Elephas maximus indicus: one gene and its partner. The main gene of each other region encodes a partner of the protein of the gene in region 2 in a complex. Links are inferred from orthologs where the notes say so. Each region holds a gene or a part of one and is shown on either strand. Other genes may lie near its edges. The genes, in order: IZUMO1R and IZUMO1.

Region 1 (15,870 bases), on a different chromosome or scaffold from region 2:
TCTGTCCTATAGTGTTGCTATGGGTCAGAATTGGCTCTGCATTAGGTGAAAATTTACAGAGCAAATTAGTTTCCCATTTAAAAGTTCATAATAAAATGTTTCATAATCTTGGTTGGAAACCCCATGGGGCAGTTCTACAGAGTAGATATGAGTTGGAATTGACTTAATAGCAATGGATAATAATAGTCCTGTTCTGATGCAAATAGTTAACATGCTAGGCTGGTAACCCACAATGTGTCAGCACTCTCCCCATTTCCACCCTGGGTTTCCTGTTTCCTTTTGTCCTAATTTTCTACCCCTTCCCGCCTTCTCATCTTTGCTTTTGGGCAAATGTTGCACTTTTGGTCTCATATAATTGATTACTCTAAGGAGTACATTCCTCTCAGGTGTTACTGTTTATCATCTGTGCTTATCTATTGTTTGGCTGGGAAGTGGTCTCTGGGAATAGCTTCAGTCCCAGGTCAGAAGGGTGTCTTAGGGCCATCGTCTCAGAGGTTCCTCCAGTCTCCATCAGACCAGCAAGCCTCATCCTTTTTGTGAATTTGATTTTTTGCTTTACGTTTTTCTCCCTCTCTGTCCAGGACCTTCTGTTGTAATCTCAGTCAGGGTAGTTGGTAGAGGTAGCCAGGTACCATCTAGTTCTTCTGGTCTTGGCGTCATGTGGGCCGTGGTTCATGTGGTCCATTAGTCCTTTGGTCTAACTGCTCCCTTGAGAATCTTCTTTGCTCCAGATGGGAAGAGACCAATAATTGCATTTTAGATGGCTGCTTGCAAGCTTTTAAGACCACAGACGCTGCTCACCAAGTAGGATACAGGATATCGTCTTTATGAACTTCTTTGTGCTAGTTGATGTAGACGGCCTCCAAGTCTCTGGTCCTTTATCTTCTAGCCTAGGAACTTCATCCAGCAAGGTGTTTGATTACGTCTAAGAGGTTTCCCTGACTATATACCTTGTGTGTGCTATATGAGCCATGCCTACAGTCATGTATGTAGAAATATCCACCATCAAACCTATATCTGCTGGTGGGTGTGTTCCCTTACATCCTCCCACACCTCTTGGTGTAGCTATCTACCCATTTATCCATTTGTAAATTGTTAATATTAGTGATGCAGGACTGTCTAAGCTATAGTAGTTACCATAGTTGCCCTTCATTCTTCCTTAAAAAATATGGAACACTTCACAAATTTACATGTCATTCTTGCACAGGGGCCATGCTAATCTTTTAGTAATGTGCTGCTGAAGCAAGCATCCTATATGTATTTTTGAAACTGCAATTTATTTGATCAATTTAAGAGCGATTAAAGGTCCTAATGCAAGTATTTCATGTCTTGGGGATTTTGCTGCTTTTTGCCTAGAATTTCATTCCTGTTCTCACACACAGCCTAATGAACTGTCCTCTTTCCATCCAGGCTAGAGTCAAGCCTCAGGCCCTCTGCCATGCCTTCTCCAGACACCCACCTGGCCCCAGGCCCTGTTCTTACAGACTTCCAGCGAAGTGCTTCATCCCCACTGCTTCTCTCTGTATCCTACTCCAGACTGTGAACAGCTCCCTTGGCAGGACCTTGTTTGCTTTTATAACTTCAGTACCCCACCTGGAGCAGGGTGTGTTCAGTGAATGAGCATGTTCAAGGAAGTATAGAAGGAATGGAGGCCAAGGGTAACCGAGAAGCTGGGCTTGCTGGAGTCTATAGAGAATGAATAATTGCTAGAAAAGTCAGCCATCTCAAGGACAGCCATAGTAGGGGCTCTCTCAGTCCAAGCAGAAGAATGTGGGCAAGGCCCTGTTGTGTGGGAAGCTGTGGCGCTTCAGGCACTGGAAGGTTCAAGAGGGCCATAAGCTGCCCAGTGCATTACAGACGTGAAGTGAAGGCAGTGTCAACACCACCTCTCTAGCTCTGCGTCTCACCCTTGAGGACGTGGCACTGCCTGAGAAGCACTTTCTATCTCCAAGCAAACAGTGACAGTGACTTTTTTTTTTGTAAGTTAAATCATCTGACCCAACTATCCCATTCCTCTAAGGGGAAAACAAAACCAAGACAATCATTAATGAAGGTCAAAGGATTTGACAAAAGTCATATTGAAAGCGGTAAAGCCAGATTAGAACTCAGGTTTACAAAATTCCAGACCAGGGGAGGGAGGATTAAAACAGGAAAAGCCAGAAAGCATTTTAGGCAGCTGCTTCAATCTTTGTACCCAAAGTAGAGATGATGGTCTGAGTGGCCCCCATCCCTTATTCTGGCCTTGGGTCTTTCGTATGGTGCATCACTATTGAAAAAAACAGTGTTGAACATATTCTTGTCAGAGATGTTGTGTGGATGTAAGGAGAGGGCCCTGAAGTTAATAATTGTTAGGTAAGTAATAACCAACTGGCCCCATTGTTGTACAGCTTGGCTCCCTGCACACAGAGCTAGGACAGAGGGGGCCACACAGAGAGAAAAGGTCAACTGCCGTTTTATTGGAGGCACCATCATAGGACAGGTGGCCAGGGCTGCCCCATCAGCTCTGCCACAGAAAAGGACAGGCATGCACTGGACGAGAAGGTCCCTGAGTCCCACGTCTGCACCCGCCACCATTCTTAAAATCAGGAGAAAGCAGAGCCCCTTGGAAATCCAGCCCCTAGCTGCCTCTCCAGCACAGTAAGGCAGAAGAGAGCAGGAGTGGGGCCTAAGATGGAACATGTAAGGTTCAGGCACCAGCTCCTGCAGCCCCGATGTCCTCTCTCCATCCCCAGCCTGTGCTGCCCCTTCTAAGGAGTGGCTTGCGGAAGGGGCGGCCAGGGCCTGGCCCACAGCTGGTGGAAGCGCATGCGTGTGCGTGTGCGTGTGCGTGGGAAACGGGGATCTCAGGAATGGAATGACAAGAACAGAGACAAGACCAGGAGGGGGCAGGAGAGTTCCCAGGACCGGGCAGGGCTGGCGAAGAGGCGGGCCACAGCCACATTGGGGTTGCCCTGAGCCGGCTCAAACCACTTCTGCATACACCGTCCACTGCTGCGGCGCTCAGGGCTTGCCTTGTAGGAGTTGCTCCAAATCTTGTCACACAGGTCAGCCGGGGTGGGGAAGTAATCGGGGAAAGGGAGGCAGTGAGCCCCTGCAGGGCAGCGGACCTTCCCTGCGGAAGATAGAGGCCTGCACAATTTCCCTCCTACCACCACCACCACTACTCCCACACCCCCAGCATTTGCCCGTGGAAGGAAAGGGGGGTTTACACCTGCCCCCAGGTAGGAGACCTCCCAGGGGCCGCTTCATTCCCCTGGCCCTGTTGGGCACACTCACCCCGTCTCCAGTCCCAGCCGCCCTGCCAGTTGGATTTGCATGTGTACGACGAGCGGCAGTCATCCCACCACTGCTCACAGTCCTCCCAGCACAGCGGCACGCCCACGATGCCCTCTTCCTGCCCACGCGGGTCCACCTGGGTCCAGGCACAGAAACAGGCAAGAACATTAATAGCAGCAGTTTGAAGGCTATTAGTAGCTACAGTGGTACTTGTGCCATGTACCATCTGTACATTACCTCTTACCAACACAGTCTATAAAGTACTGTTATTTTACAAATGAGAACAATGAAGGCTAGAGGTTAGTTTGTGCCAGATCACGCAGCTAATAAATATAAGAGATGGAATTTGCACTCAGGTCCATTCAACTCCACCAAGCCACCACAGGTGACAGTCCTTCATCCTATTGTTCCCATTGGCCTAGTCTCTCCCACTGGCCTCTCCAGGGCTGAAGTAGCTTCCTCTTCACCCTTTTTCCACCTGGGGGCCTCTAACTCTGCTCTGTCCACAGGGGGACAGCACCTCCTGCTCCTACTAGCTTTCTGGAGACACCAGCATAAGATGGGCGGGGTACTCAGCCTCTTAGTAACAGGCATTGCACTCATCTTCTTCCTGTCCACCATCTTGCCTTCCCACCTGTTGAATCCAAGGCCCCAGGTTTGGGGAGCACTCGTAGAAGCAGAAGGCCTGGATGAAGTGCTTCTGACAGCTGGGGGTCAGCAGCCCACAATGAGTCAAGCTGAAGTTGTAGAGCAGGGACATGTCCAGGTGGGCCTCCCAGCTCGTGTTGGCTGTGCAGCAGGCATTGTCCTTCCAGGGAGTGCACTGAAGGTGGGGGAAGAAGCAAAGGGCTGAGTGTCTAGGGCACAAGGGGGCAGAATAAAAATGTCTCTTAGGAGAGGACCAGGGCTGGTGGGATCCCTTTAAGCCAGCAGCCCCCTATCCTGATTGTCAAGTTATTGCTGTTGTCAAGTTATTGCTGTTGTTAGGTGCCGTGGAGTCAATTCTGACTCATAGTGACCCTATATGACAGAGTAGACCTACCCCACGGGGTTTCCTAGGCTGTAATCTTTATGGGAATAGATTGCTACGTCTTCCTCCCACTGAGCAGCTGGTTGGGTTCGAATTACCAACCTTTCAGTTAGCAGCTGAGCACTTAACTGTTGTGCCACCAGGGCTCCTTTGATTGTTGGAGGAGCCCTGATGATTTGACAGTGTTCACACCAAAGGGCAGAAGGCGCCCTGCACGCTGACCTCTCTGCCACAGGCTGCTGCTGTCGCCTAGAAGCAAGACTTCCAGGGTTTCAGCTCTTGAGAGGTGGTGGAGGCCTTTGGAGGGAAGCAGGTAGAGAGAGGCAGCCCAGCGAGACCCAGGGAATCTGGGATTGCATTGGTGGGAGGGTACCTGCACCTGAGAAAGACTCAGACTAAAATCTTGCTCACCCTACAACTCCTTCTTGATCTCTGTTAATTGCCTTCAGGAGCTTGAGGGAGGGGTCACTTCAGAAATACGTTTTCCCAGGGCCTGCTGGTAGGAGGGAGGACAAGGTTTGTTTTCATCTATGCTGAACCAACAATGAGCTTCTGGCATCACCATTGGAGCCAGCTCCCTGTGTGGCTGGAACAGCTCAGAGATGGAACTTTAATTTTTTTTGTGCTTTAAGTGAAAGTTTGCAAATCAAGTCGGACTCTCATTCAAAAATTTATAAACACCTTGCTATACTCTTGCTCTCCCCCTAATGAGACAGCACACTCGTCCCTCCACTCTCATCAGAGATGGAACTTTAAATCACTGGACTTAATGGTCAGCAAGGGTCATTCAAGGCAGATTAACCAGTAAGCAAGGTATCCATGGCTTAATTGCGTTTACTTACTAATCTGTAGTGAATAATTTCACATGGGTTTCACATCTTTTATGTGGTAAAGAACTTACAACAGATTAGTAAGTAAGTACAAGTAAGCCTGTGCATACCTTGCTTATTGGGTAATCAGTCTCTGATCATAGTCTCTCTCTAGTTGCCTTTGCCCAAATCCCAACTTAAGGAACCAGACAAGCCTGGGTTGATGGGGGTTCAGAGATCATCGTGGCCTTTGTGTCCCCCTCTCACCCTTAGGCCAGGTCTGACCTCGTACCTCCTCGTAGAGCTTGTCTTCTGGGCTGGGCTCTGTCTTGTGGTGTTTGGTGTTCATGCAGACATTGAGCAGCTTGTCCTGAGACCACGTAGTTGTGACCGTCCACATCCCTAGCAGGAGCCGCCACCACCATGCCATGGCCTGCTGCAGACGGGAGACCTGCTCTGCTCACAAAATGGGGAGGACACCCCTGTCCCCCTCCCTCCACCATACCAGGCACTGAGGAGGGAGCATAGGGTCAAGGTTTCCTCAAGTGATGGTGACACCAGTTACCCCTAGACCTGAGGCACATCACAGAAGGTCAGGCTGGGATAGAATAAACCTTAGACACTTCACCCTCAACCATTGTATAGATGCATAAACTGAAGTCCAGAGAGGGGAAAAGATGAGCCCTAAGGTGACAGTCAGGGGTAGAAAGGTTCACAGCCTTCACTGGAAAAATTTTTCCCAGCCCTTTTTTCTCTGGGAGGCAGCCTTTTTAACTCAGTGATATAAACCAGTTGCGATGGACTCGATCCTGCCTCATGGTGATCCCATGTGTGTCAGAGGAGAACTGCACTCCATAGCCTTTTCAATGGCTGATTACTCCAAAAGTAGATCACCAGGCCTTTCCAAGGCACCTCTGGCTGGACTTGAACCTCCAACCTTTCAGTTAGCAGCCGAGCATGTTAACCATTTGCACCACCTGGGGACTCCACTTAGTGATATATGGGCTGAGGATTCAGAGCTTTGGTCCTGGCCAGCAATGAACCTCAAAATGGTGGCCAAGTAACCAAACAAATGCCTTGTAATCAGATTCTCCAGGGTCCAAAGGCTGTGACTTGGTAGCATGACAAACCCAGTCCTGCCCCACCAAGTGCTAACCTTAATTCCAGCCCCTCTAAGCAGTCCAAGCAAGACCTACAGCTCCTTGGAGAAGCTTGTCCTTTCCCAGTTCCTAGGCCTTCTAGCCAGTCCTTTCCACTATAGAAATCGTTCCTCTTCCACCAGCTTCATCCCATCTCAAATCCATCTAAGCATGAGGCTAGATCCCCACGTTCCCAGCCACCTTGCTGGCATCTCAGAGCCAGGGAGTATGGCCAGGCCTGAGTCAGAGAGAGGAGTCTTCCACTTCCAAAGCCCAATCCCATCACAGGAATGGGGAGGACAGCCTTTCACTTGGTGTTTATTTGAGCTCTGTGTTTCCAACCTTGTTCTGGATGGTGATGGTAATGACAGGGAATACAAACAGAGACCTCCTTCCCCCCTTCCTCCTTCCCCCTCCCCCCAGAAGAGGGCAGAATCGAGGAACCATGCCTCAAAAACCCAGGCCCCAGGAGGACACTATCTTTTAAAAGGCAACTAGGGAACAGGCTCCTTCAGCCTTCACTGACCTTGGGGACCCATGGCTGTCCCAGTTCTCCAGTCCTTGAGGGAGCCTGCAGTGGACCCAGCATAGTGAAACTGAAAATCCTAGGCCTAGCTTAGGTTTTTCTAGACCCCCGGGCTCCACCTTCAGAGCCCATTCTCAAGTCTAAATCTATGGTCACTCTCTGTCCACAGCACAAGTTACAAGGGCATAAACAGCTATGGAGTATTTTTAAAGAATCAAGTACATTAGTCTTGGACCAAAGAGGGAAGGTGCTTTCCGTGCTCCCTCCATACTCACTTTCAGAGCAGTGAATGCTTCAGGTGCTCCCTCCCACGCCAGAGACTTGGAGACTTAGGAGAATTACCCTGTCCTGCCCATTTATTACCCAAACCTGTTTTTATTACCCAACCCTGTTACTACTAGGCCCAGGTGCAGAGCAGAACTCTAGGCGGCTCCATTAAACAGGATCTGTCTTACCCAAGAGTGTGGCCTCTTGTAGATGGGACAGGGTGGATTCTCAACGAGTTTGCTTCCTCAGAGAAATAGAGACTCCGTAATGGTTAAGATTCTGGATTCTTCCATCAGTTACTAAGCTCAGCTTTCAGCTTTGGTACTCACTAGCTGGATGACTTTGGGAAAATTACTTAAACTCTCTAAACATCAGTTCGACCATCTGTAAAAATGGTTAGTACAATGGGGTTGTTGGGAAGAAGGAGTTAGAGTTGTTGTTGTTAGGTTCTGAAGAAAGATGTGGCAGTCTGCTTCCATAAAGATTTACAGCCATGGAAACCCTATGGGGCAGTTCTACTTTGTCCTATAAGGTCACTATGAGTCAGAATCAACTTGACGGCAGTGGGTGGGTTGTTAGGTGCCATAGAGTCGATTTCAACACATAGTGTCCCCATGTGACAGAGTAGAACTGCCCCATAGGGTTTTCTTGACTATAATCTTTATGACAGCAGATCACTAGGTCTTTCTCCCATGGAGCCAGTAGGTGGATTCGAACTGCCGACCTTTTGGTTAGCAGCTGAGCACTTAACCTGAGCAGGGCTCCTGGTGCATGAAAAAGACTTAGTGTGGTGTCTGGCACAGAGCAAGCACTCAGTAAGTCTTACCAGTTTAAATTCGTATTCTTTTATTTTCTGGAGCCTCTCTCTGCCCAGCCCTGCAGCTGTCCTTGCCCCTTCATCAGCTCAGTTACTTGGGGTGGGCCATACAGTGGTTTGAGTAACAGCACCCTCCTCGGCTCACAGGAGCAAAGCTTCCTGCTGGAGAGCAGACCCACCAGTACACAGCAGCACAGAAGATGAAGTATGTGGCCTTGAAGATCCAAGAATTTAAATGCATGACCAAAGCCAAAACAAACAAACAAAAAAAGACCCTCTGCAACCCACAGAACAGCCTCCTTAGCATAATGCCTCAAGAGCAGGAACGCTGTCCCGTGAAATATTCTACAAGCACTCTCAGCAGTAATAATCATGAAAATATCCTTGTCCACTAAAGAGAGTCTGTGAAACTTGGAGAGGACTCTTAGGAGAGTCCCGAAGACATGAAAACACTGGAAAAGGAGCCCCTTGCTTTGCCTGTTTCTTGTAACAAGCTTCCCCTCCAAAATAGGAATAGCCGAAGCCACTGGAGTTTTGCTAATAACATGTAGGAAATGAGAACAGAGTTGAAAAGCATTTTTTAACAGAAGAAAATGAAACAAATATATTGTGTTATTCAACTGCTTAGCTGACCTGCAAAGCATATAATAATCATCATGTTGGAAAATGACATTTCCCACTCCTTGCTAATCACAGCCACTATGTACTGAGTACTTCCAAGGGCCAGACACAGGGGTGATGCTGTGTATACACAGTCTCGCTTATTCCTTACAATGACTGCACAGTGATCAACCTCCCTATTTAACTATGAGGAAACTGAGGCTCAGCTAGCAAGTCGCAAAGCTAGAATCTGAGTGCAGTTATTGTTAGCTGCCATTGAGTTGGCCCCCAACTCATGGAACCCCATGTACAATAGAATGAAATGCTGCCAGGTCCTGTACCATACCCATGTGTCTTAGTTATCCAGTGCTGCTCTAACAGAAATACCACAAGTGGATGGCTTTAGCAAAGAGGAATTTATTTTCTTACAGTAAATTAGCCTAAAAGTCCAAATTCAGAGTGTCAGCTCCAGGGGAAGGCTTCTCTGTTGGCTCTGGAGGACGGTTCTTGACCTCAATCTTCCCCTGGTCAAGGAGCCTCTCACGTGCAGGGACCCCAGGTCCAAAGGACGCGCTCTACTCCTGGTGCTGCTTTCTTGGTGGTATGAGGTCCCCAAATCTCTCCTTGCTTCCCTTTCCTTTTATCTCTCTTGAGCGATAAAAGGTGGTGCAGGCCACACCCCAGGGAAACCCCTTTACATTGGATCAGGGAGGTAACCTGAGTAAGGGTGGTGTTACAATCCCACCCTAATCCTTTTAGCCACAGGTAGAGATTATGATTTATAACACATAGGAAAATCACAAAATGGAGGAAAACCACACATGGCCTAACCAGCTGACATATATTTTGGGGGGACAAAATTCAATCCATTACACCATGATTGCTTGCCGGGAGGACCATTTGATCCATAAGATTTTTATTGGCTAATTTTTGGAAATAGATCATCAGACCTTTCTTCCTCATTTGTCTTAGTCTGGAATCTCTGCTGAAACCTGTTCGGCATCATAGCAACATGCAAGTCTTCACAGGCAGATGGGTACATTGGCTGGGAGTTGAACCAGGGTGTTCCACGTGGAAGGCGAGAATTCTACCATTGAACCACTGGTGCCTCAAGAACCCAAGTATACCTGATTCCGTATCTGATGCTCTTATGGACCAGGTGATGGAGACATCTCCAGTACTGAAAGAGTAGGGGCTGTCTGGGTCTCAAACGAAATATTTTTTTTTTTTTTTAAGTTAAATCCCATAATTAGATTGTGTGTGTGTGTGTGTGTGTGTGTTGGGGCTGGGTGTTATGGATTGGATTGTGTCCCCAAAAATGTGTGTCAACTTGGCTACGCCATGATTCCCAGTACTGTGTATTTGTCCACCATTTTGTGATCTGATGTGATTATCCTATGTGTTGTAAATGCTAACCTCTATGATGTCAATGAGGCAGGATTAGAGGCAGTTATATTAATGAGGCAGGACTTAACCTATAGGATTAAGTTGTATCTTGAGTCAATCTCTCTTGAGATATAAAAGAGAGACGTGAACAAAGAGGAGGGGGCCCTCCTACTACCAGGAATGAAGAACCAGGAGGGCAGTGGGTCCATTGGACCCAGAGTCCCTGCACAGGAAAGCTCCTAGACCAGGGGTAAGATTGATGACAAGGACCTTCCCCCAGAGCCGACAGAGAGAGAAAGACTTCCCCTGGAGCTAGTGCCCTGAATTCGGACTTATAGCCCCCTAGACTGTGAGAGAATAAATTTCTCTTTGTTAAAGCCATCCACTTGTGGTAGTTATACAACAGTGAGTGTTGGCATTATTCACAAAGTGATGGCTACAAACCCAGCCTCCCATATCCCTGTCTAAAGTAGAGCTTGAGGTTCCCTCTTCAGGGTCAGGCACCAGTGGTAATGGAGTTTCTGTAGCATGGGTCTCTTCACCTGGGTGTCTACTTGGCAGGGGTAGAAACAGGTTCTCATGTTCTGTTCAAACCCCCACAAATATTCAAGAAGCTCTAAGGAATGAAGAGGCTTGAGATTTTAGTTTTAATGTTAAGTTTAAGGTGGCTGTGGATGTGGCAGGGACAGAAATCCAGAAATGAATCACAAAAGTCATTACTGAGATGGAGCACTGGTCCTCTGGTACAAGGTTGAAGGTGGCTTCATATGGAGAGAAGAAGGATGAGGAGGGACTTGCTAATGGTCTCCAGAACAAGGCTGTCAGAAATGAGCTAAAATTGTAGCAAGCACAGGTGCCGATGAAAGGAAGGAGGGAGAGAGGAAGAGAGGAAGGAATTACCAAGTTGCCTTTCAGAGAGCAGGTGGTCAGCCAGCATCTGCTCCCCAGAGAGGCAGTTTACAGCCCTTGAAGAGACCTTGTTTTTTTGCCTTATTGTTACTGAATCTTCCAAAGAAGTCTATTTTCTGCCTGGAAGCTGATAAACCAAAGCTGGCTGTAGATGAAACCATTTGAAGCAGCTGATCCAAAACAATTTTATTCTTACAGAACAAAAACAGAACACTTAAATTGCCAAGAGAAGCAGTCCAACAACATTCAGAGCGTTCTGAGAGGACAGCGAGGAGTGCAGGAGCAGGGAATGGAGCAGGCTAGTGTGTTGCCTCTTTGGCTGGGGGGCTGGTGTCTCATGTCCAGACTGAGCTCTGATTTGGCGCTACAGGAGATGCGGCGTAGTAGTGACTGACTCCCATCCCCAGGCTTCCATCATACATGAGGTCACCCAAAGCGCTGAAGCTCACTGAGTTCAAGAACAGGCTCAAAGAGCACAGAACTTGTGTCAAGACTGACATCAGAGGCCAGCTGGAGGAGACACTGGTAAAGCTGGTTCTTAGTGGCTCTTACGAGTCCTTCTCACCAAGAAATCTATTGACCATCCTTGCCTAAACTCTTCATCGGTTTGCATCTAGGGCAGGTATCCCTAGGTATCTTATCCTTCCCTCTTCCTTCCCTGTACATCCATTCAATCACCAAAGCTCCCATGGCTTCCTGTACTTCTGTTTAACATTACTTATTACAGAATATTGTAATCTTCTGTATATTTGCTTGCCCCCCCCCCCACCCTTTAGACTCTGAGTTCCTTGAGGGTGAGGAACTTGTTTATCTTTGTGTTACTAGCCCCTAGCACAGTTTACATAGAAGAGCCTGTAAATGTTTGAATGACTTAACTTTCTAAATATCTCTTCAATTCAAATTCTGTTACCCCTTTTTCTATCCCTACGATCTGGGTCATGATTATCTCTTGCCTTAATTCCTGCAACAACCCCATAACTTCCCCCTTCCAAATCTTTATTCAAGCAGCAGCCAGAATGATCTGTTCCCCACCCCCAGCATTTTGTTATGAAAATTCTCAAAATACAGAGAGTTGAAAGAATTTTACAATGAACATCCATATGCCTACTACCTAGATTCTACCATTATTACCATTTTACTGTATTTTCTTTGTCACATATCTAGCCATTTATCCATCCCTTTATCCATCTGGAAACCCTGGTGGCGTGTGATTAAGAGCTACGACTGCTAACCAAAAGGTCTGCAGTTCAAATCCCCCAGGCTCTTCTTGGAAACCCTGTGGGGCAGTTCTACTCTGTCCTATAGAGCCACTGTGAGTCGGAATCAACTCAACGCCAACAGGTATTTTTTATCTACCCACCAATCCATCTTTTTAAAAATGCATTTCAAAGTAAATTACAGACCCAAGCATATTTCCCTCTAAATAATTCAAATATCCATATCATTAATGAGAATTCTATATTCGTTTAGTTTTTTTTTTTCAGAATGGTCTTTTTAAAATGTAAAGATGGTTACCATATTCCTGTGTTTAAAACACTTCTGGACCTTAAGATAAGGTCCCAAATCCTTAACATGGCACACAGGACCTTTTTTTTTTTCTTTTTGTGGTGAAAATGCGTACAACAAAACTTTTGCTAGCACAACTTCCATATTTAAAGTCAATGGCATTGATTACGTTTTTCATGTTGTGCCACCATTATCGCTTTCCTTTTCCAAAATATTCCACCATCATTAACGTAAACTCAATGCCCCCCAAACAAAATATTCTTCTTTCCCCCCCACCCTCCCACCCCAGTAACTGTTAGTAATCTTTAGTTTCTATATACTCGTTTCATATAAATGAGATCATACAGTATTTGTCCTTTTGCGACTAACTTACAATGTTTTCAGGGTTCATCCATGTTGGAGCACACATGTGGATTCATTTCCCTTTACGGCTGCATAATATTCCATTGTATGGATATACTGTATTTTGTTTATCCAGTCATCTATTGATGGACATTCTGGTTGTTTCCACCTTTTTGCTGGTGTGAATAGTGCTGCACTGAACACAAGGCCTTTTTCAGTCTTCGTCCTATTTACTTTTCTTAATCTGTTGTCCTTTCTCTCATCTATACTCTAGGCACTTGTTTACCATGCTGGTCTGCAAGTGCCCTGCTCCCTTACATATGGCTCCCTCTGCCAGGGCTTTTCTCTCATAGCTTACCCTTTGCATCTAGCTAGCTCCTATTTACCCCTCAGCTCTCTGAAGGGCTAGTTTCTCCTCAGGGAAGCTTGCCTTGGTACTCCAGGGACTGGCTAGATGTCCCTTAGTGTCTTGTGCTTACCGTTGTCAGTGCACTTACCACCCGACATTGTGCATGCCTGCTTCCAGGCTTGTCCCCACCTCTCGACTGTAAGCAGTTTGGGGATAGACACGGTAATGTTCACAGTGTTAAGACAGTGGTTGGCCCAGAGTAGATATCCAATCAATGTTTGTTGAGTAAAAGAGGAAGAATACCTGGAAAAAAAAAATGCATTTCTTAAAGACATTGTTTTAATACAGACATTTCCCTAGTTTAACCTGACTTGCCCTTCTCTTCTCCCTTTCCCTTTCCCCCTTCCTTCCTTTTCCCCTTTTTCTTCCAGTCACTTGTCCTATTCTCCCCTCTCCTTCTCCGTTGTAGTTTAAACTGACCTCTTCTATTTCCCCTCCCTCCCCTCCCCTCCCCTCCCCTCCCCTCCCCTCCCCTCCCCTCCCCTCCTCTCTTTCTTTCCTCTCTCTCTTCCTTTCTTCTCCACTCTCTTTTCTCTGCAATTTTTCTCCCTCATCCTCAGACTTTCAGACTGGAACACCTTCACTTTTTGATGATTTCTGTGAGATTTCAGACTGTTAATCCTGGGACCTTTCATCACCACTTGAGGAAGGCCACTTTTTAGGCCTAATCACAACAATGGAGATGAGTGGGAAGCCTCTCAGGGTTGGAGAGAGTCCAAGTAATGAAAGGACTGATAGAAAAGCATCAAAATTCTAAGGGAAAGAGATTAACTGAGAATTAGACACAGCGGAGAAAGCTATGCCACAAAGAACAAAAATTTTTACTCTCCAGCTTATTTTTCTTGTCAGGTTGGAGACTCCTCTCTTCAACACAAATTTTCCCTGTTGTTAATGTTCCTTTGTTAAATTCAAGCCAGTCTGCCTCTGGGTCTACCAGATAGTGTTAATAATAAGTAACTAAGGTTTGTATGCAGTTTTACAATGTGTAGCTGTTCTCAAAACATTTTTTCTTTCAATTCTCTCAACACCCATCTCTGGAACTGTCCCTTGGTGCTAAATTTCACCCTAGATTCAGTCCTGTCCCTCTGTTTCTCTTCCTAGCCAAAGACTCATTTATGTTCCTTGTGGCTCCTCCGTACTACCTCCCATTCATTTGTCAACCACTGTAGCCTGGCTTCCCACCACCATCCTGTGGAATCCAATCTTGCCAAATTCACCAGCAGTCTCCCAATTCTTTAATCCAATGGGCAGGGTCAATCCATATCCTACTTGACCTCTCAGTTGCCTTTGACCAAGGTACTCCCTTCTACCTTCTTGAAACTCACTTCTCCCTTGATTTCCAGGGCTCTGCTCTGTTCTGGTTTTCTCCCTACATCTCAATTTGCTCCTTCTTAGCCTCCTTGGTAGGCTCCATTTCTTCCATCTGCCACTTAAGTGTTTTCTTGAGCTCTGTCCTTGGGCCTCTTCTGTTCTTATTGTTTATCCTCTCTGGGCAATCTTACCCCTCCTGTGACTTCAGTGATCACCTATACGTGTGTGGCTCCTAAATCTCTCTGTCCAGTCCTGACCCTCTAGAATTGCATATCCATATGCCTCCAGTGGTATTTCCCTTGGATTTTCCACAGGTACCTTACACTCATTATGTCCCAACTGTTCTTAGTAACTCTTTCATTCAGCTTTTCTATTTTGGTTAATGGGACCTCATTCCTCCAGTCATCCAGGCTGGAGGCCTGGAGTTGTCCTGGATTCCTCTCCCTCTCCTACCTCATGCAATGCTTTAACATGACATGTAAGGCTCTTCATAAGCTGTCTGTGATTTATGGCAAAAGCCCTTCTCCCTCCCTTATCCATCCCCACCCTACACACTAGCCACCCTGAACTAGTTACCATTCCTCCAAATGCGCCACTTCTCTCTACCTTTGCACCTGCAGCTCCCTCTGCAGGGCTGATCTTTTCCTGCTTCTTCATCCACCATTCATCCTTTAGGTCTCTACTTAGCAGCATCACCTCTGGAAAGTCTGCCTTTGACCTTCCTTGGGTTAGGATCTCTCCTGCAGGCTCTCATGGCTTCTTGTACTTCTGTTTAGCATTGAATTTATTACAGATTATTGTGATCTTCTATATACTTGCTTACCTCCCCCTTTAGATTCTAAATTCCTTAAGTGTGAGGAATTTCTCTTTTCATTCTGTTACCAGCCCCTAGCACAGTTTATGGTGCATAGAAGAGCCTCTAAATGTTTAAATGAATGAATGGGACATGCCAGGTGTGAGAACCTGCAGGAGTCTGAACCTGCAGTAGAACCCAGTTTTTCTGTATCCATGGACAGTACGTTTTCCTCATAGTTCAATTTTCAGCACCCATCCTTGAATGTTCCATCCTGATAGCCTAGTGTGGTTAAAATTGAAAGTGTGTTTGAACAGACACAAACCTATCCATAGCTGCTTTCAGAGGGTCTTAGAATACTCCTATATATGTTCTTTTAGACAGGGACAATTTTACATTGTTATAATACATATGGTCCAGTGGTCCAGTCCAGCCATGGATGCCCAGAGGATAACGCTTAGCCTCAGTGTGTCTTCTACCCACATCTCCTAGCCCACCATCCAAGGGATATGAGCCACAGCTGGCCTGAGCCTTAGAATGGTAACCATTGCCCTATTCTTGTTGAGGGAAAGGGAGGAGGCCCAAACTCCAGCTAAACTGAGCTGTCTTTAATACGTCCAATTCTCCATGCTCAATCTTGCTCCAGGCTTTGCACATGCTGGTCCCTTTTACATAGGATGCCCTTCCCTCAATCCCCACCACACCCCATACTTTCATTTTGCTGACTCCTTCCATTTTTTAAGTCTCAAT
Region 2 (15,029 bases):
ACCTCAAGGACCCATTTGCATCCTTTGAACCAAAATTCCTCTCCCTGAAGCTTGGAGATAAATAAAGTGCTTGAGAATACAACTCCCATGAGGCTGTAGTAGTCAGACACCTGGGACATAGCCGGGGGTTACCCAAGATTTCCTGGAAACTGTAGGTCAACTCCCTTTCCTCACATCCTTCCCAACCAGCAAATGAAAAACGACACGGGAAAGTAGGTGTGGGAGGAAAGGAAGAACAGGCAACTGGCTTGCCAGGATTACATGATGGTCATTTCACTCCAAAGTCTATAGGACCTGGATAAAAGAATTTGGACCTCCAGCCCCTCCTCCCTCAGACCCAGGAGTCTCAGACCCCTCAGACTCAGGCATTCTGGCCTTCAATCCCCTCTTCCCTCAGTCCCTGGAGTCCAAACCCCCTCCTCCCTTAGGCCAGGCTGTCTAGATTCTCATTTTGCTCTTCTCCTGGGACCCAAGTGTCCAGGTGTTCAGCTTTCTGGTCATTCAGGACCTAAAAGTGGTACCCAACCCCACCCCCCGAACCCAAGTGTCCTTGCCCCAAATCTGAAGACCAAGCTATCTTCTCATCCCTACTGCTAAATGAATCCAGAAAACTACACCTCCCATGAGGTGTGGCGCTACAGTGTCACACACATAAAAATTCCGTTATTTTGGTAATCTGAGAAATATAGTTCCATGATGCTAACACAAGGTGAGGGCTTGTGAAGCCTGTCCCGTCAAAGGACATGAAGAGTCTAGAGTCCCTGCGGACACTAAAGCAGAGCAGAAAACAGCCCCGGGGGAGGCTGGGACCTTCCCACAGCCTTACAGCAATGGGGGACCTTCAGGGTTCATGGGGGATGAAGAACCTGGTCTCATATCTTCCCTCAGACATTCACACATGAGCTCACTCTGATCTTCCTCTCTCCAACTCTTTATTATCTCACATAAGAAAAATGAAAAAAATAAATAACATAAATAACCCAATAAATAAAAAGGAGGCCCAGTAACAATCCACAAGCAACTTCAGGAGGCATAGCTGGGGCTTCGGCCCTGTGAAGGCCCCACCATGCTCAGGGGGTCTGAGGAGTCCACATCAGGGGGCTCAGGGGCCAGGACCCCTGGAGGTTCTTGGAGCATTGGGAGCAGGCCTGGCAGTGGCAGGAAGCGGGCTGGTACCCGGGATGCTGGGTCCCTATATGGGGAGTTGTGGGAGGGCAGGCGGATTGGGAGTCCATGGGCCTCGGACCGGTAAACATTGTATCCATCTTCAAGAAGCAGCTCCCGGAAGCTGCAGGCCGCTGGGTCGAAATGGAGCTGGGGGGACAAATAACAGGGATCAGAGACAACGTGATTCCTCGATACCCTCCTGCCGCGAGACCCAGGATTCCTGGCCCCCAGCCCCCTCTTCTCTCAGACGCAGGAGTCCCCAAACCCAGCCCCTCCTCCTTCAAACCAAGGAGTCCCCAAATCCAACCCTTTCCTCTCAGAAACAAAACAACAAAAACAGATTTCTCTGATACCCTAGGGCAGTCTTGCAAGGCCCAAATCCCTCTACCCACTTCACAGAGAAGAATGTTCCAGCCCAGGTTCCAGTCAGGGCTCCATGAGGCCAGGCAGGGGGCCTGGCCACCACCCAAGATCACACGGTCACTTCATGGGCCATGAGACTCCTGAGTGTCCCTGCATCAGGCATAAGCCAGGCACACAGGAGCCCATGTGGTCAGGAGCATGGGTCACAGAGTCACAAGACTTGGCCTCTCAGGCCACTCGGCCATTCACCTGCCTCATGGGTTGGGGGCAGTGAGGTCCCTGCCTGAGCCTCAGTGTCTTCATCTTGCAAACGCTGATCACAACAGTTCCCACCTCCGGGGGTACCAGTGAGGTTGGGGGACGTAGAGAGCACAGAACTCAGCCTGGGCCAGGCAGAAGTGCCAGACATGTCATCCCAGAGTGTGATGGCAGTTTGCGGGAGGAGGGGGCTCTGAAACTTACCGATCCGTACAGCACCCCATCAGGCCCCTGGCACAGGAACCGGGATGTCTTGACCCCCAAGATCTGAATTATTCCAGGCTTCAAAGCTTTCAGCTCCAAGAGACCTGATAAGAGAAAGCAGTCAGGGGCTCAGAGGACATTTCCCAGCCGCCTCCTCCCTTAGATCCAGGAGTCACAAAACCCGGGCCCCTCCTCCCTCAGACCCTGGAATCCAGGCCCCCAGCACCCTCCTTCTTCAGACTCTGGTGTACAAGCCTCCAGCCCCCTTCTCCCTCAGAACAGGGAGTTCAGGTCCCTGGCCCCTTCCTCCCTCAGGCCCAGGAATTGGGGTCCCCGACTCCTTCTTCCCAAGACCCTGGGCTCTGTCCCAGCCCCCACGGTAGGACCAGACCCTGCCTTGCACTCACTCTCAGGGCTCCGGTGGGCGGCTCCCGCCACTGTGCCATCTGCTCTGATCTCCAGGTGGGCCTCGGTCTCCTGGGCATCATCTGTGTAGAGGTAACGTTGCCGGACCTGGCCCCCGAATTGGAGGAGGGGGCTGGAGTCAGGGATGGGGTGTCCCTGGCAGGCCCCCAGCAGAAGGACAGCCATCACAGGGACCCACAGTCCTGGGTGCTCCAACCCAAACTTGGCCCAGTCCATCAACAGCTCAGGTCCTCTGGCGAGGTCTGGGGTCTGAGATTTGAGGAGCTGAATGGTCTAGACTGGGTTCCAGAGCCTGGTGGTCTGGAAGAGCAGGTTTAAGGATTGCTGCTTGGGTACCCTGAATGCCTGGGTTCTCTTGCTCATGGACTCCCAGCCAACAGGACACCCAGTGTTTTGGGAAGGATGCAGAAGCCCCAGAATTTATATCCAGACAGACCCGCCCAATCACCCTCCCCAAGCCTGACCCATGATATTTGACCTACTTGGCAGGAGCCAGAATTCCACTGTGGCCAGGTCAGCCTGAATGGATGATGTAATCTGGGGGTCCTTCCAGCTGGGGGCCTAGACTCCTGGGTCTGGGGGAAGAGGAGGAAAGAGAACCTGATCACCATGACTTAGAATGAAAAGGGCTGGGGGCTAAGATTCCTGGGGCTGGGGCAGTTGGGGCTGGGGTCAGTACTCCTGGGTTGGAGGGAGGAGAGAGCTGGGGGCCTGGATTCCTGGATCTTGAGGCAGGAGGGGCTGGGGCCCAGACTCCAGGGTCTGTGGGAGGAGGTGGTGGGATCCAGGTCTCCTGGGTTTAAATGAGGAGGAATGGTGGTACCAGGACTTCTGGGTCTGAGGGAGGAGGGGGCTAGGATGCTATAAAACCCCCTCCCAGACTGGCTGAGGCAGATTTTGTTCCCCAACTGGAATTTCTCCATCCCATTTAGATGTCTAGGTTTCTGGGGGTAGGGCGGGAGGGATCTGACAACGAGGCTCTTTGATCTTCTGAAAACAAAAACTGCCACATGAAAGAAGAGTTTTCAGAAGGGCTGGGTTGTCCAGGCCTCTCAACCTCTCCCTGGGCTGGTGCCAACCTGCACCTCACCAACCCCTGTACAGACTTGGAGACAATGAATGTCCAGCCTCCTCCTCCTCCTCCACCTCTGATGCAATCTTGGTGTTTCTTTCGCCAGAGAAGCTACCCAGAGCTCCAGACAGGTGCTCCCAAAATAGCCGAAGAAGGGAAGGGCTGGCCAGGGTCTGACTCAGGGTTTGTAGCTGAGCCAGACCCAGGAGGGGAAGTTAGATGCTAGAGCTGAAGAGTGGGGTTGGCCAGTTGCCTGGAAGCCCCCAGTAGTGCAGGGTCTGGACTTCGCAGTCTGAAGGAGGATGGACTGGGGACCCAGACTTCTGGGTCTGAGGGAGGAGGGGGCTGGGTGACCCAGACTCCTAGGTCTGAGGGAGGCAGGAGTTGGGGGTCCCTCTCCCCAGCGACTCCTGGGTCTGAAGGAAGAGGGGGCTGAAATCTGGGACTCCTTGGTAGGGGAAGAGTGGTCTGGGAGCTGGAATTATGGTCTGAGGGAGGAAGGGGCCAGGGGCTGGATTACTGGGTCTGAGGGGGCAGGGGGTTGGAGTCCAGACTACTGGGTCCTGGGGTGGAGGAGGTTGGGATCTGGACTCCTGTGTCTCAGGAAGAGGTGGCTTGAGGCCAGGACTCCTTGGGGCCCTGACTCCTGGATCTGAGGGAGGAGGTGGCTGGGGTCCCTGACCCCTGGGTCTGTGGAAGAGGTGGCTTGGGGCCAGGGCTTTTTGGGACACAAACTCCTGGGTCTGAGAGAGGAGGAGTCTGGGGGCCTAGACTCCTGGGTCAAATCTTTGGCAAGTCAAGTCAAATTCTTGCACATTTTGCATCATCTGGAATGACAATGGTCAGGCTGGTCATGCGAGGGGGATGGAGGTATGAGTGGGGGTAGGGGGAGCTAGGGGAGCGGTGTTGACAATGGAAGCAGCCCCAGGTTGGCAGCAGAGGGAGAGGAGAGGCCTTTGTTCACTGCTGCAGCTGCCGGGGCCTCTGCGGGGTGCAGGGAAAAGCATGTTTCCATTCCGCCTTTTGGGAATAGGGCCTCTGGGGTGGCTGGTCTAGAACACAGCAGTTCGTTGACACACTCTTGAATCCCAAGAAAGGAAGGGCAGGGGTCTGGGACTTTTGATTTCCTTGTGTGGACCAGATGGGATGGCACATTTGTGGCCCCTCTAAGCACCAGACCACCTGGAAGCTGGAGGCTCTCACACCTGGGTTCCCGGTACTGGGAACAGGCTTTCCATTTGCTCCAGGAGCAGCTCGGCAAACATGTTCTCAGTTCCCCCAGGGAGGACGCAGCAGGGTGAGGAGGATCTTCCCACCTACCTGGACCCAGGTGTCTGGGCTCTGCCACAGTGGTTGGGGCGTGGCTGGGCTGGGTGCATCCAGGTAACGTGGGCACTTGGGAAGCCCAGGCACTAGAGTAGGTAGGAGAGGGCGATGGTCCGAAATGCCCAGGTCCAGAATTGAAGTCGGGCTCCAGCTCTCTGAAGCTACGGAAGGATGTTTGTACCTGGGGGCCAGGTAAGCAGCCCGGGCGGAGACTTCTGACTGGCCGAGGACGCGGGTGGAGAGGGCTGCGGCTGCGAGCTCCCGGCACCCCAAGAGTAGAGGGGGCGGGCGCTGCCACCCTAACCCGGGTCATCCAGGCTGGGCACCAGGAAACGGGGCGGGGCGGCCCCGCCTCGGCGGTACCTGGACAGCGCCGGGGGCGGGGCGGGGGCGGAAGCTCGAACATGAGGCGCGCCCCCTCCTACTCCTCTCCTTCCCAAGCACTAGCTGCTAGTGGAGGGAGGCAGGGCGGAGGGTACGGCTTCTGGGCCTGGGGACCTGGCGTCTGTGATTCCGGAGGTGGCCGGATGTGGGCTGAGTTTGCCGACTCAAGGAGCTCTGGTGAGTGTGCGTTGCGGGAGTCTCCAAGCCAGGAATCCGGCCTTACTCAGGAGCGCGCACTCCCAACCCTTGCCCCCGAGACCCCGGGAGTCCTCCGCCCTCACCTCCGATTCCTCTGGGAGTCAAATTCTTAACGTGGTCCTGGATCTCCAGCCCCTGCTTTCCTTTCTTCCCGGTGATGGACTCAGCCACTCACACAGGTCCACCTGGGAAAGGGGGCTGGTGGAATGGTCTAAACTTCAGGGGACCTTACAGGTAGGGAGCAGGAAACTCCAAGAGGTGGGAAAAGGCTCAGGATCCTGCACCGCTGTTGTTCTGGAAACCGCAATTGTTGCCATCTTCCATTCCTTTTCCCCAAGATCCCAAGTCCCCAGCTTCTCCTCCCTCAGACCCAGGAGTCCCTGCCCCCAGCCCCCTCCACCCTGAGACTCCTACTCAGACTCTGAGCATCTATCTGCTAATTCACTTTTCCTCCCCTGCAGCCATGTGGCCCCCCAGCCATCGTCACCTCTGTCTGGCCTTCCTAGTAGTCTGTGTTCTCTCAGCAATCTCCTTCTTCCTACACATCCACCAAGACCTCTTTCTAAGTGGCCTAGACCTGTCTGTCCTGTGTCCATACCGCTGCCTGGGGACGTCCCCAGTGGCCATCTTCTGCCTCTCGGGCACACCGGTGACCACCAACACCTGCTGTTCCTATCCCCAGCGCCCTGCCTCCCTCTCTGGAACCTGGACCATCTACTCAGATGGCCGGTTTGGTAACCAGATGGGGCAGTATGCCACCCTGCTTGCCCTGGCCCAGCTCAATGGCCGCCAGGCCTTCATCCTGCCTGCTATGCATGCTGCCTTGGCCCCCGTGTTCCGCATCACTCTGCCCACGCTGGCGCCAGAGGTGGACAAGCACACGCCTTGGCGAAAGCTGAAACTCCACGACTGGATGTCCGAGGAGTATGCCCACTTGAAGGACACCCACTTGAAGCTCTTTGGCTTCCCCTGCTCCTGGACCTTCTTCCACCATATCCGGGAACAGATACGCAGCGAGTTCACGCTCCATGAGCACCTTCGGGAGGAGGCCCAGAGAATACTGAGGCCGCTCCGCCTGGGCCGCACTGGGAACCCCCCGCGAACCTTTGTGGGGGTCCACGTGCGTCGTGGGGACTATCTGCAGATCATGCCCCACCACTGGAAGGGTGTGGTGGGTGACCGTGCTTACCTCCAGCAGGCCATGGACTGGTTCCGGGCACGGCATGAGGCCCCCATCTTTGTGGTCACCAGCAACGGCATGGAGTGGTGCCAGGAGAACATTGACACCTCCCAGGGGGACGTAATTTTTGCTGGCAATGGGCAGGAGGGCTCACCAGGGAGGGACTTTGCACTGCTCATGCAGTGCAACCACACCATCATGACCATCGGCACCTTTGGCTTCTGGGCTGCCTACCTGGCTGGAGGAGACACTGTCTACCTTGCTAACTTCACCCTGCCGGACTCCAACTTCCTAAAGATCTTTAAGCCAGAGGCTGCCTTCCTGCCTGAGTGGGTGGGCATTGCCGCAGACCTGTCTCCACTCCAGATGTAGGCAGGGACTTTCTGGAGTATCTTGGTTAATCTAGAGCTGGCAGTATGCATCTCCTGAGACCTGGCAGCTTCTGGAGAAGTGTGTGGTGTTTCTGGAGCACATGGGCACCACACCTTCCCCTACCCAGAGTGATTCTAATTTGCCAGGCTTTGAGATGTGGCAGGGGAGTGGCTTTCTGGAACTGCCGGCACATTCTAGAGCTAACAGAATATTTTTTCCTGACTGCTAGCAATCTCTGGAGCTCGTGACAGTTCTAGTGTCCACCTGCTCTTCTCAGCCCATATCCAAGTACTTCTAGAAGGCTACCTCCCAGGAAGCAGGGCATCCTCTACTGTTAACCATCTTTGTGTTTTCTAGAAAAGGTGGCGTTCCTCCCCTGAGTCCTAGGAGAACTGATGGAATTTGGTCCTTCAGTGGTTGTTCTAGAGCAAGCATGCAACAGCTCTTCTCTTCATGTTTCTGGAATGCTTCTAGAGGGGATTTTACTCTAGAGTGGGTCAGGTATGATGCCTGTGAAGAGCCCTGCAGGGCCCTTCAAGAAAGAATGAGTTCTGGAATTCCAGATAACTTCAAGGAAGAATTTAATGCAAGTACAAGCAGAAGGTTAACATGCCATCACTGCCAGAAAGATTGAGAGTTGGGAGATAAATTCTCTAGCTGGCCAGCAGGAGCCCTGGTGGTGCAGTGGTCAGGGGCTCAGCAGCTAACCAAAAGGTCAGCTCTGTGTGACAAAGATGTGGCAGTCTGCTTCCATAAAAATTACAGCCCTAGAAATCTATGGGGCAGTTCTACTCTGTCCAATAGGGTCACTATGAGTTGAAACCGATGGCAATGGGTTTAGTTTTTCAGTTTTTAGCTGGCCAATTGTTCTGCTCACAGGCTCTGGAAAATATGGAGCAGCTTGTGAGCAGGGCAGGACTCTAACAGGAAATCCACCACGGTTTGGTTTTTTTTTTTAGCAGATGGACACTGGGGAGGAGTAGGTTTGGGTGGGGCATGAAAATGGCTGCTTAAATGATCCAGCTTCAAGAACAGGCCTTTCCAGATATCCAGGGACACTATTTTATTTAAAGCTCAAAAACTACTAAAGGCTGAATGGCATACCTTGGCTCCAAGTTCAGTTTGCCTCTCACAATTAAGGAGGTTTTCTTCTCTGCCGTTGGGCTGCTAGGGATACTGGAACCTGTTTTCTGGGAGTCAGTGGACCATAAACATACTTTCTGGGCTCGCAAAAAGCCACAGGTACTCTCCCCTTGCCAACAAATGTCTGCTGGTGTGAATTCACAGAACTATTAGATTTAACTTTGGGCAAGTTTGGGATGAAAAGATCCAAAGTTATACGTGCTGACGTGGCGCCCAGCCCCAAACTAGGAAGGAGCACACGGTCCGGTCAAGGAGGACGGGATTCTGCACTCAGATTTCTGGAGCACCTTCCTGCATTTTTGGAGGGTGAAGGAATATACCTTTATTTCAGTCAACCTCTGCTCATGTCCCGCATTCACCCATCCAAGAATTCAAGTCCCTTCTTTATCTTATCAGGGAGTTTTGGGGGACCATTCCCAACTCAGCTACCACAGGTGGGAGCGAAGAGATATGAATTAGAAGCCCAGATCACCAACCTCAGTCTGCAGCTTTCTTGGAGGTGTGTGTGTATGTGTGTGTGAGAGAGAGAGAAAGGATGAAGGTTGGGAGCTTCCGGGGACTCTATTACCCACCAAGTCTTGGGGCGTTGCTCCTGCTCAGATCTGGCAGCCTCTGCTGCTAGACTTACATGACTTGCTACTAGTTGTCCCTGTTCTTCTGGTGGCCTATTTCAATGAGGCAGAAAGGCAAGGAGAGAGACTTTCCAGAACTCAGAGGTCTGAGCCCTCAGTTTCTTTTGCCAGAACCCTCGGTATTGGATTCCAAACAACGCTTCCCTCAAGGACCTTGGCATCCAGCCCCACAGACTAGAGAGGGAAGGTGAAGAGTGAGCTGACTACAATTCTTGAACTACATTTCCCATAATGCTGTGAAGTTGGCTGAAATGAAAATACAACCAGAAGGTGAATACACCACCACTGCCAGAAAGATTGAGAACTGGAAAATAAACTCTCTAGCTGCTCGGTTGCTGCCTGGAGAAAGTGACCCCAGGGCCTTCTGGGAGTCGTAGTCCTAGGGCTAGAAACAGCCGCTCCCTGCGTTTTATTAGCTCGACGCCAAGGTTTCAAAGAAGGCATGTAGCCGGAAGCCTGGGTCCTGGGGCCAAGGAAGGGGAGATGTCAGGTCCTGGGAAACAGGAGCAAGCAGAGGTCTTCCCCTCGGTAGACGACTAGAAAGCTCTTGCTTGAAAAGACGGTCGCCTCTGTGACGTCATGACGCGATAGGCGAGACCCATCTTTGTTGTGGTCCAATCAGGTTCAGAGTTGGGCTTCTGGGCGGGGCCCAGATATCTTGGGAATTCCGGATCCCGACGTGGAAAGTAAACTGGAGGCCGCGGGAGCTACTTGTAGAGAAGCGCGACCCGTGACTCAGACCCCAATCGAAAAGCCCCAGATACCACGCACCCTCACCCTCACCTCTGACAAAATCCTTCATTTTAGTCGTGGGAAAATAATAGAAGGACGTGGCCCGGGATTCTCTAAAAGTCCTCGGAACCTGGACTTGGCTTTTCAGCGAACCGTAGTGTTGGCGGGCATAACAGGGACCCAAGGTCAGGCAGCGGCTTTTGAGGGTGCATGGGAATTCTTCACTTCCTAAGAATAAGGGTGCCCCCGCAAGTTGGGGGTCCCTTACTCTTGGAGAAGGGTGGACAAGGGCCCCCTGGGTTTGGAAGACCGTTTGTTGGGTGATCAGGTTTTGGGGGCTTGGGGTGCATTTAATTTGAGGGAATTTTGAATTTGATAATATCCTGGTTGGTTTTATATTGGCTGGTTTATTTGGTTTGGACGGTGAGTTTTCAGCCGGAGGTGCAACAGGCTTTGGAGGTTTGGGAGGCTCTCAGTGTTGATCCAAGGAGCTCTAGTGGCGCTAACAGTTAAGCGCTTGGCAGCAGACCAGAAGGTTGGCGGTTTGAACCCACCTAGCAGCTCCGCGGGAGAAAGGCCTGGCAATATGCTTTCATAAAGATTATAGCCAAGAAAACCCTATGGGGCAGTTCTAGTCTGTCACATGAGGTCGCCATGAATCTAGTCGGTTCTACTGCAGGTAACAACAACAACCACAGCAATGTCCATCGACTTAATGTTGGAGGTTCAGGATGACATCAGTTTGAGGAGTTGGTGGTCTCTGGTGTGGGTATTGGGAAAGACTGCATGGGATGGGGGTTCTTCAGTTTGAGGACTGGTGAGTACCTCTTGTTTAATAGGTCTCTCATTTGAGAGTCAATGAGGACCCTAAATTTGGGGACCCCTGGATTGACGATTCAATCATATTCCCCACTTTGGAGGTATCTGATGAATATCATCTGTTCTGCAGTTTGGGGACTCCATGGATAAGGGGCTCAGTGGGGTGTACTGAAATGTGTTTTGGCCTTTTTCCATTTAGCGTTTGCCTCTTCGGTTTTCAGTGAGAGGACCCTCCCTGGGGCGAGAGGGAGGGGGGTCTACGCGGATCACGCTCTCAGGCCACAATGGGACCACAGTGCCCCCTACTGGTGGTGGCCCTGGCCAGTTGCCTGCTTCCTGCCCCTGGCTGTATCATCTGTGAGCCCTCGGTAGTGGCGGGGCTGAAGAGCTTGATGACAGATTACCTGCCTAACCACCTGCCACCGGAGGCTCAGGAAAGCCTGATGAAAAGGGTAGAGGCCGCAGTGCGGGATTTCAAGGAACTGCCGAAGGATGATGAAACCTACATGGGGGCTGTTGGTGAGGGCAGGGAAGAGCACGGACTTCTGGGCCTTGAGGAAGGAAGGGGCTGGAGGCAGGACTGCTGAGTCCAGGGGAGGAAGGGGCTGAGGGAACGGTCTCCATGGGTTCTGGGAATAGGGAAGGCTGGGGTGCAGATTCTGAGGTTCCCTGGGACTAGTAAATACTATGTTCCCTACCCCTTATCCCACAGTTTTATGTGATAAAACTACAACCCCCAGAAGACATGGCAGGGGTGGGGGTGGGGCGAATCCCTTGCCAGGCCTATCACTGCCCAGCAGCCCCACGGGTATTGTAGTTTCTAAGACTAGGAGGCCAGTGAGGTAGTGACACTAGAATCTGGGGTCCTATCTCCCTTCTTGGAAACCCTGGTGGCTTAGTGGTTAAGAGCTATGGCTGCTAACCAAAAGGTCAGCAGTTTGAATCCACCAGGCACTCCTTGGAAACTCTATGGGGCAGTTCTACTCTGTCCTATAGGGTTGCTATGAGTTGGAATCGACTTGACAGCAACAGTTTTGATTTGATTTATCCCCCTCCTCAGAGCCCTGGTGGCGAAGTGGTTAAGAGCTACGGCTGCTAACCAAAAGGTCAGCAGTTCGAATCCACCAGGCGCTCCTTGGAAACTCTATGGGGCAGCTCTACCCTGTCCTATAGGGTCGCTATGAGTTGGAATGGAATCAAGGGTACACAACAACAACATGTCCCTCCTCAAGGAGCCCTGTGGAGCAGTGATTAAGCACTGGGCTGCTGCTAACCAAAAGCCTGGCAGTTCGAAGCCACCACCCACTCCATGGGAGAAAGATGTGGCAGTCTGCTCCCGTAGATTACAGCCTAGGAAACCCTATGGGGCAGTTCTACTCCGTCACATGGGTTCTCTGAATCAGAATCAACTCAACAGCAATGGTTTTCTCAATGGGTATCTCCACCACAGATGAGCCCACACTGCAAAAGGCATCCTGGAGTTTTCTGATGGATCTGAAACGCATCATGGACACTGGGGTAGAAGGTAGATCCTGGGGATGTGGGAGGGTTGGATTCGGGAATCATTCAGGGAAGCGGTGGCTGGTGATGCCTCATGTGGTCAGATCCTGGAATCTGGAGCTAGACTGTCTAGGTTCAAATCCCAGTTTTGCCACTTTCTAGCAGTGTGGCCTTGCTCAAGGAGCTTCAGAGTTTCCTCATCTCTACAATCGAGACCATAGCAACAGTGCCTTCATCAGTCAGTTGCTGTGAAGATGAAATGGATTAATACATGTGTGTTGTGTGGCACAGTGGCCAGCATTATGTTGTTATTGTTAGGTTCTGTCAAGTGGGTTCTGACTCATAAGGACCCAGTGTAACAGAGGAACTGCCCCATAGGGTTTTCTAGCCTATAATCTTACAGGGTCTTTCTCCCGTGGAGCTGCTGGGTGGATTCCAATCACCAACCTTCTGAACAGCAGCAGAGCACTTAACCGTTGCACCACCAGGGCTCCTTGGCATTATATTTCACTTGCTTTCCCTAAGAAGGCAAGAAAGTAGAACGTCAGGTTCTAAAGACAGACGCAAACTTCCTGCACCTTGCATGGGGATAGGAGGAGGAGTGGGGGAGGAGGGACCATTCTGCTTCTTGCTTCTTCCCAGGTGAACTCTTCATAAAAGAGCTATTCTGGATGTTGCACCTGCAAAAGGAGAGCTTTGCCCACCAGTCTGCTCATTTCCTAAGAGAATGTGAGAAAAGATTGCAGTCCCCGACCTTCCACTGTCCCAAGCGTCCCCATCCCTAGCCCCTCAATCCTCTCCTCCCTCAGACCCAGGAGTCCCACTCACTGGATCCTCCTCCCTCAGACCTAGGAGTCCAGGCCCCCAGCCCCCTCCTCCCTCAGACCCAGGAGTCCAGGCACTCAGGCCCTTCCTTCTTCAAACTTAACAGTCCAAGCCCCCAGCTTCTTCCTGCACCCCTACTACCATCCCTTTTTATTTAGAAATCTGACTCTTTTTTTTTCTTTCCGTGGCAGTTTATTGTCCCAATAAATGTGGTGAGTTCGGATTATAAAAGGTAGTCTCCTAACCCCATTCCTGCCCCATGAATACCTAACCTCTCCCTCTCCCATTTTTGAGGCCCGAGTGTTTTTTTCACTCTATATCTGAGTTTCGTGGGTCTCCAGTATCCCTTCTCCACCTTGGACTTCTTGGGGAGTGGGTCGCATTCTCTTTTCACTCTCTTTGGCACCTCATTCCATCTCACTTCCTACTAGGCTGCATCCTAGCCTTGCCCCTTGGCCTGACCTCCCTGGCATCGGACACGTGGCCCCATCCCATCCCTATTCTTTTAGCTCCTGCCTCTTAGCAGATGGAAACCCTGGTGGCATAGAGGTTAAGTGCTATGGCTGCTACCCAAAAGGTCAGCAGTTTGAATCCACCAGCCGCTCCTTGGAAACCCTGTGGGGCAGTTCTACCTTGTCCTATAGGGTCACTATGAGTCAGAATTGACTGGAGGGCAATAGGTTTGGGCTTTTGGGGTTTTCTTAGAAGGTAAATGCAAGCTTTGACCCTGCTCGTTCAGGTTTGATGTTGCAGACTCTCATCTGGTGTAATAACTGCGAGAAGGAGGTTCACGCTTGCCGGAAATCCAAAGATTGTGGGGGTGAGAGAGCTTGACCTAGCGGAGGGGGGATTGGTGAGAGAGGGGTAGGGCCAGTTAAGAGAGTGCCTAGACTACAGGCAGATAACGAGGGGCCAAATGTAAGGCGGTGGGGAAGGCGAAGACCTCGAAGGGGAGAGTCCTGTAGTAACTCCCCATACCCAGAGCGCCAAGTCGAGGTCCAGCAAATGGAAGACATGATCCTGGACTGTGAACTCAACTGGCATCGCGCCTCTCAAGGCCTCACTGATTACAGCTTTTACAGGGTGGGGCCCCCTCAACTCCTGTAAACCTTGAACTCCCCATCCACTGCCCTGCACCTATGATAACCCATGACCATGACCAGGGCCTCCACTGACTCCCTTGGCTCCATGCCCTTGACCAGTGATAACCTTGGACTCCCTTCTCCCCCACTGAGGCCCCATGATCTCTCACCCCCCCACTCCCCCAACTCCTGAATGTCCCAGGCCTCTGTGACCCCTTGAGCTTGGGTCTAGGTTTGGGAGAACAAGACTGAGACCTTGGTGTCCAAGGGGAAAGAGCCCACCCTGGCCAAGCCCATGGTGGGTCCAGAAGATGCAGGCACCTACCGCTGCGAGCTGGGCACTGTGAAAAAGAGCCCAGCCACAATCATCCATTTTCGCGTCAAAGGTCAGTGCTGTTAGGTTGAGAATAGTGCAGAATTCAGGGCCCTGGATGTTGGGGTCCACTTCCAGGGAGGGACTTCAGGCTATGGGGGCGGGACTTCTGCCCAAGGCGTGGCCTCTGGCCACATGGGCAAGATTTCCTTCTGCGTGTGGTGAGGTTTCCTGCAGTTTGAGGTGTGACTATCTCGTGGAAGGCAACGGGGCTGGGGAAGGGTTGAGGGTGTTGCTTTTTTCAAGTGAGGCCTTCACACCCTTCCCGGATTGCTCTTCCCCCCTCTTCCATCAGTTTTGCCCAGAAGAATCCAGGAGGAAGCACTGCCACAGACCACCACAGCTCCGGGTGTGATAACCACAATCCATCAACCGCCCTATCCCGACAAGATGCTGAAACGCCATCTCATATGGCTGCTGATCTCGGGCATTGCAGTGGTGACAGCCGGCACTGCGACCGTGTGAGCCGCCTGCTGAAGGAGGCGGGGCTTGGAGTGAGGGGCGGGGCTTCCCGCCACCTGGAGCAGGAGGGAGTCTAGGAGCCACTGAGTACTGAGAGCAACACTTCAACTGGGGTGGGGCTTAGATAAAAGGGTGGGGCTTACTTAGAAGAGGGGGTACTTGGGAGAGAGAGCCTTGGGTGATTGCTAGAATACAGTCATGTTGAGGGGCTGGGAGGGGTACCCTCACTCAAGACCTAACCTGGTTCCACTATTTGCATAATATCCCAGGATATTTTTCCTTCGACCTCGGAAGGAACGGGATTCCTAAAAGCCCTCCCGGTTCCCCTTTGGCAAGGGACCTGCACAACACCCTCAGGTTCCAAATCAAAAGATCACGGTCTCAAAGAAACAATAAAGATTTATTTTGTTGTCCAAGTATCTGACTCACTCCTCCAGACTGCTCCTAACTTTTGGTTCCCAGAGAGGAGAGGTCTGAGGATGGTCTCCTGTCTGAGGGAGGAGGGGCTGGG

The links.
Region 1: the proteins of IZUMO1 (region 2) and IZUMO1R are in contact, whole or in part, in a crystal structure (PDB 5JKC), measured with the Homo sapiens proteins. The link is inferred for Elephas maximus indicus from reciprocal best matches to the Homo sapiens genes IZUMO1 and IZUMO1R. Residues at the interface, in NP_872381.2 of Homo sapiens: Met75, Val77, Tyr134, Val141, Leu146, Trp148, Lys150, Asn151, Lys153, Glu155, Val156, His157, Ala158, Arg160, Lys161, Ser162, Tyr163, Asn239, Ser240, Ser241, Pro242, Ile245; in NP_001186135.1 of Homo sapiens: Lys42, Tyr44, Glu45, Ile48, Leu58, Trp62, His65, Leu66, Asp67, Gly80, Leu81, Leu82, Met83, Pro84, Gly85, Arg87, Ile91, Met145, Ser146, Tyr147, Gln171.

The regions. Positions count from the first base shown.
Region 1 is NC_064825.1:26,703,740-26,719,609, forward strand, and holds IZUMO1R (sperm-egg fusion protein Juno), read right to left. Parts: upstream 7,094-15,870; 5' UTR 7,056-7,093; intron 5,549-7,055; 5' UTR 5,546-5,548; coding exon 5,408-5,545; intron 4,100-5,407; coding exon 3,911-4,099; intron 3,413-3,910; coding exon 3,277-3,412; intron 3,113-3,276; coding exon 2,844-3,112; downstream 1-2,843. UniProt on the Homo sapiens protein: Receptor for IZUMO1 present at the cell surface of oocytes (oolemma), which is essential for species-specific gamete recognition and fertilization.
Region 2 is NC_064829.1:99,131,635-99,146,663, reverse strand, and holds IZUMO1 (izumo sperm-egg fusion protein 1), read left to right. Parts: upstream 1-8,535; 5' UTR 8,536-10,560; coding exon 10,561-10,795; intron 10,796-11,726; coding exon 11,727-11,801; intron 11,802-12,418; coding exon 12,419-12,505; intron 12,506-12,792; coding exon 12,793-12,813; intron 12,814-13,340; coding exon 13,341-13,421; intron 13,422-13,583; coding exon 13,584-13,684; intron 13,685-13,915; coding exon 13,916-14,069; intron 14,070-14,351; coding exon 14,352-14,517; intron 14,518-14,787; coding exon 14,788-14,827; 3' UTR 14,828-14,910; downstream 14,911-15,029. Other genes in the region: FGF21 (fibroblast growth factor 21), read right to left, coding at 1,024-1,314, 1,993-2,096, 2,400-2,634; FUT1 (galactoside alpha-(1,2)-fucosyltransferase 1), read left to right, coding at 5,344-5,377, 5,860-6,950. UniProt on the Homo sapiens protein: Essential sperm cell-surface protein required for fertilization by acting as a ligand for IZUMO1R/JUNO receptor on egg.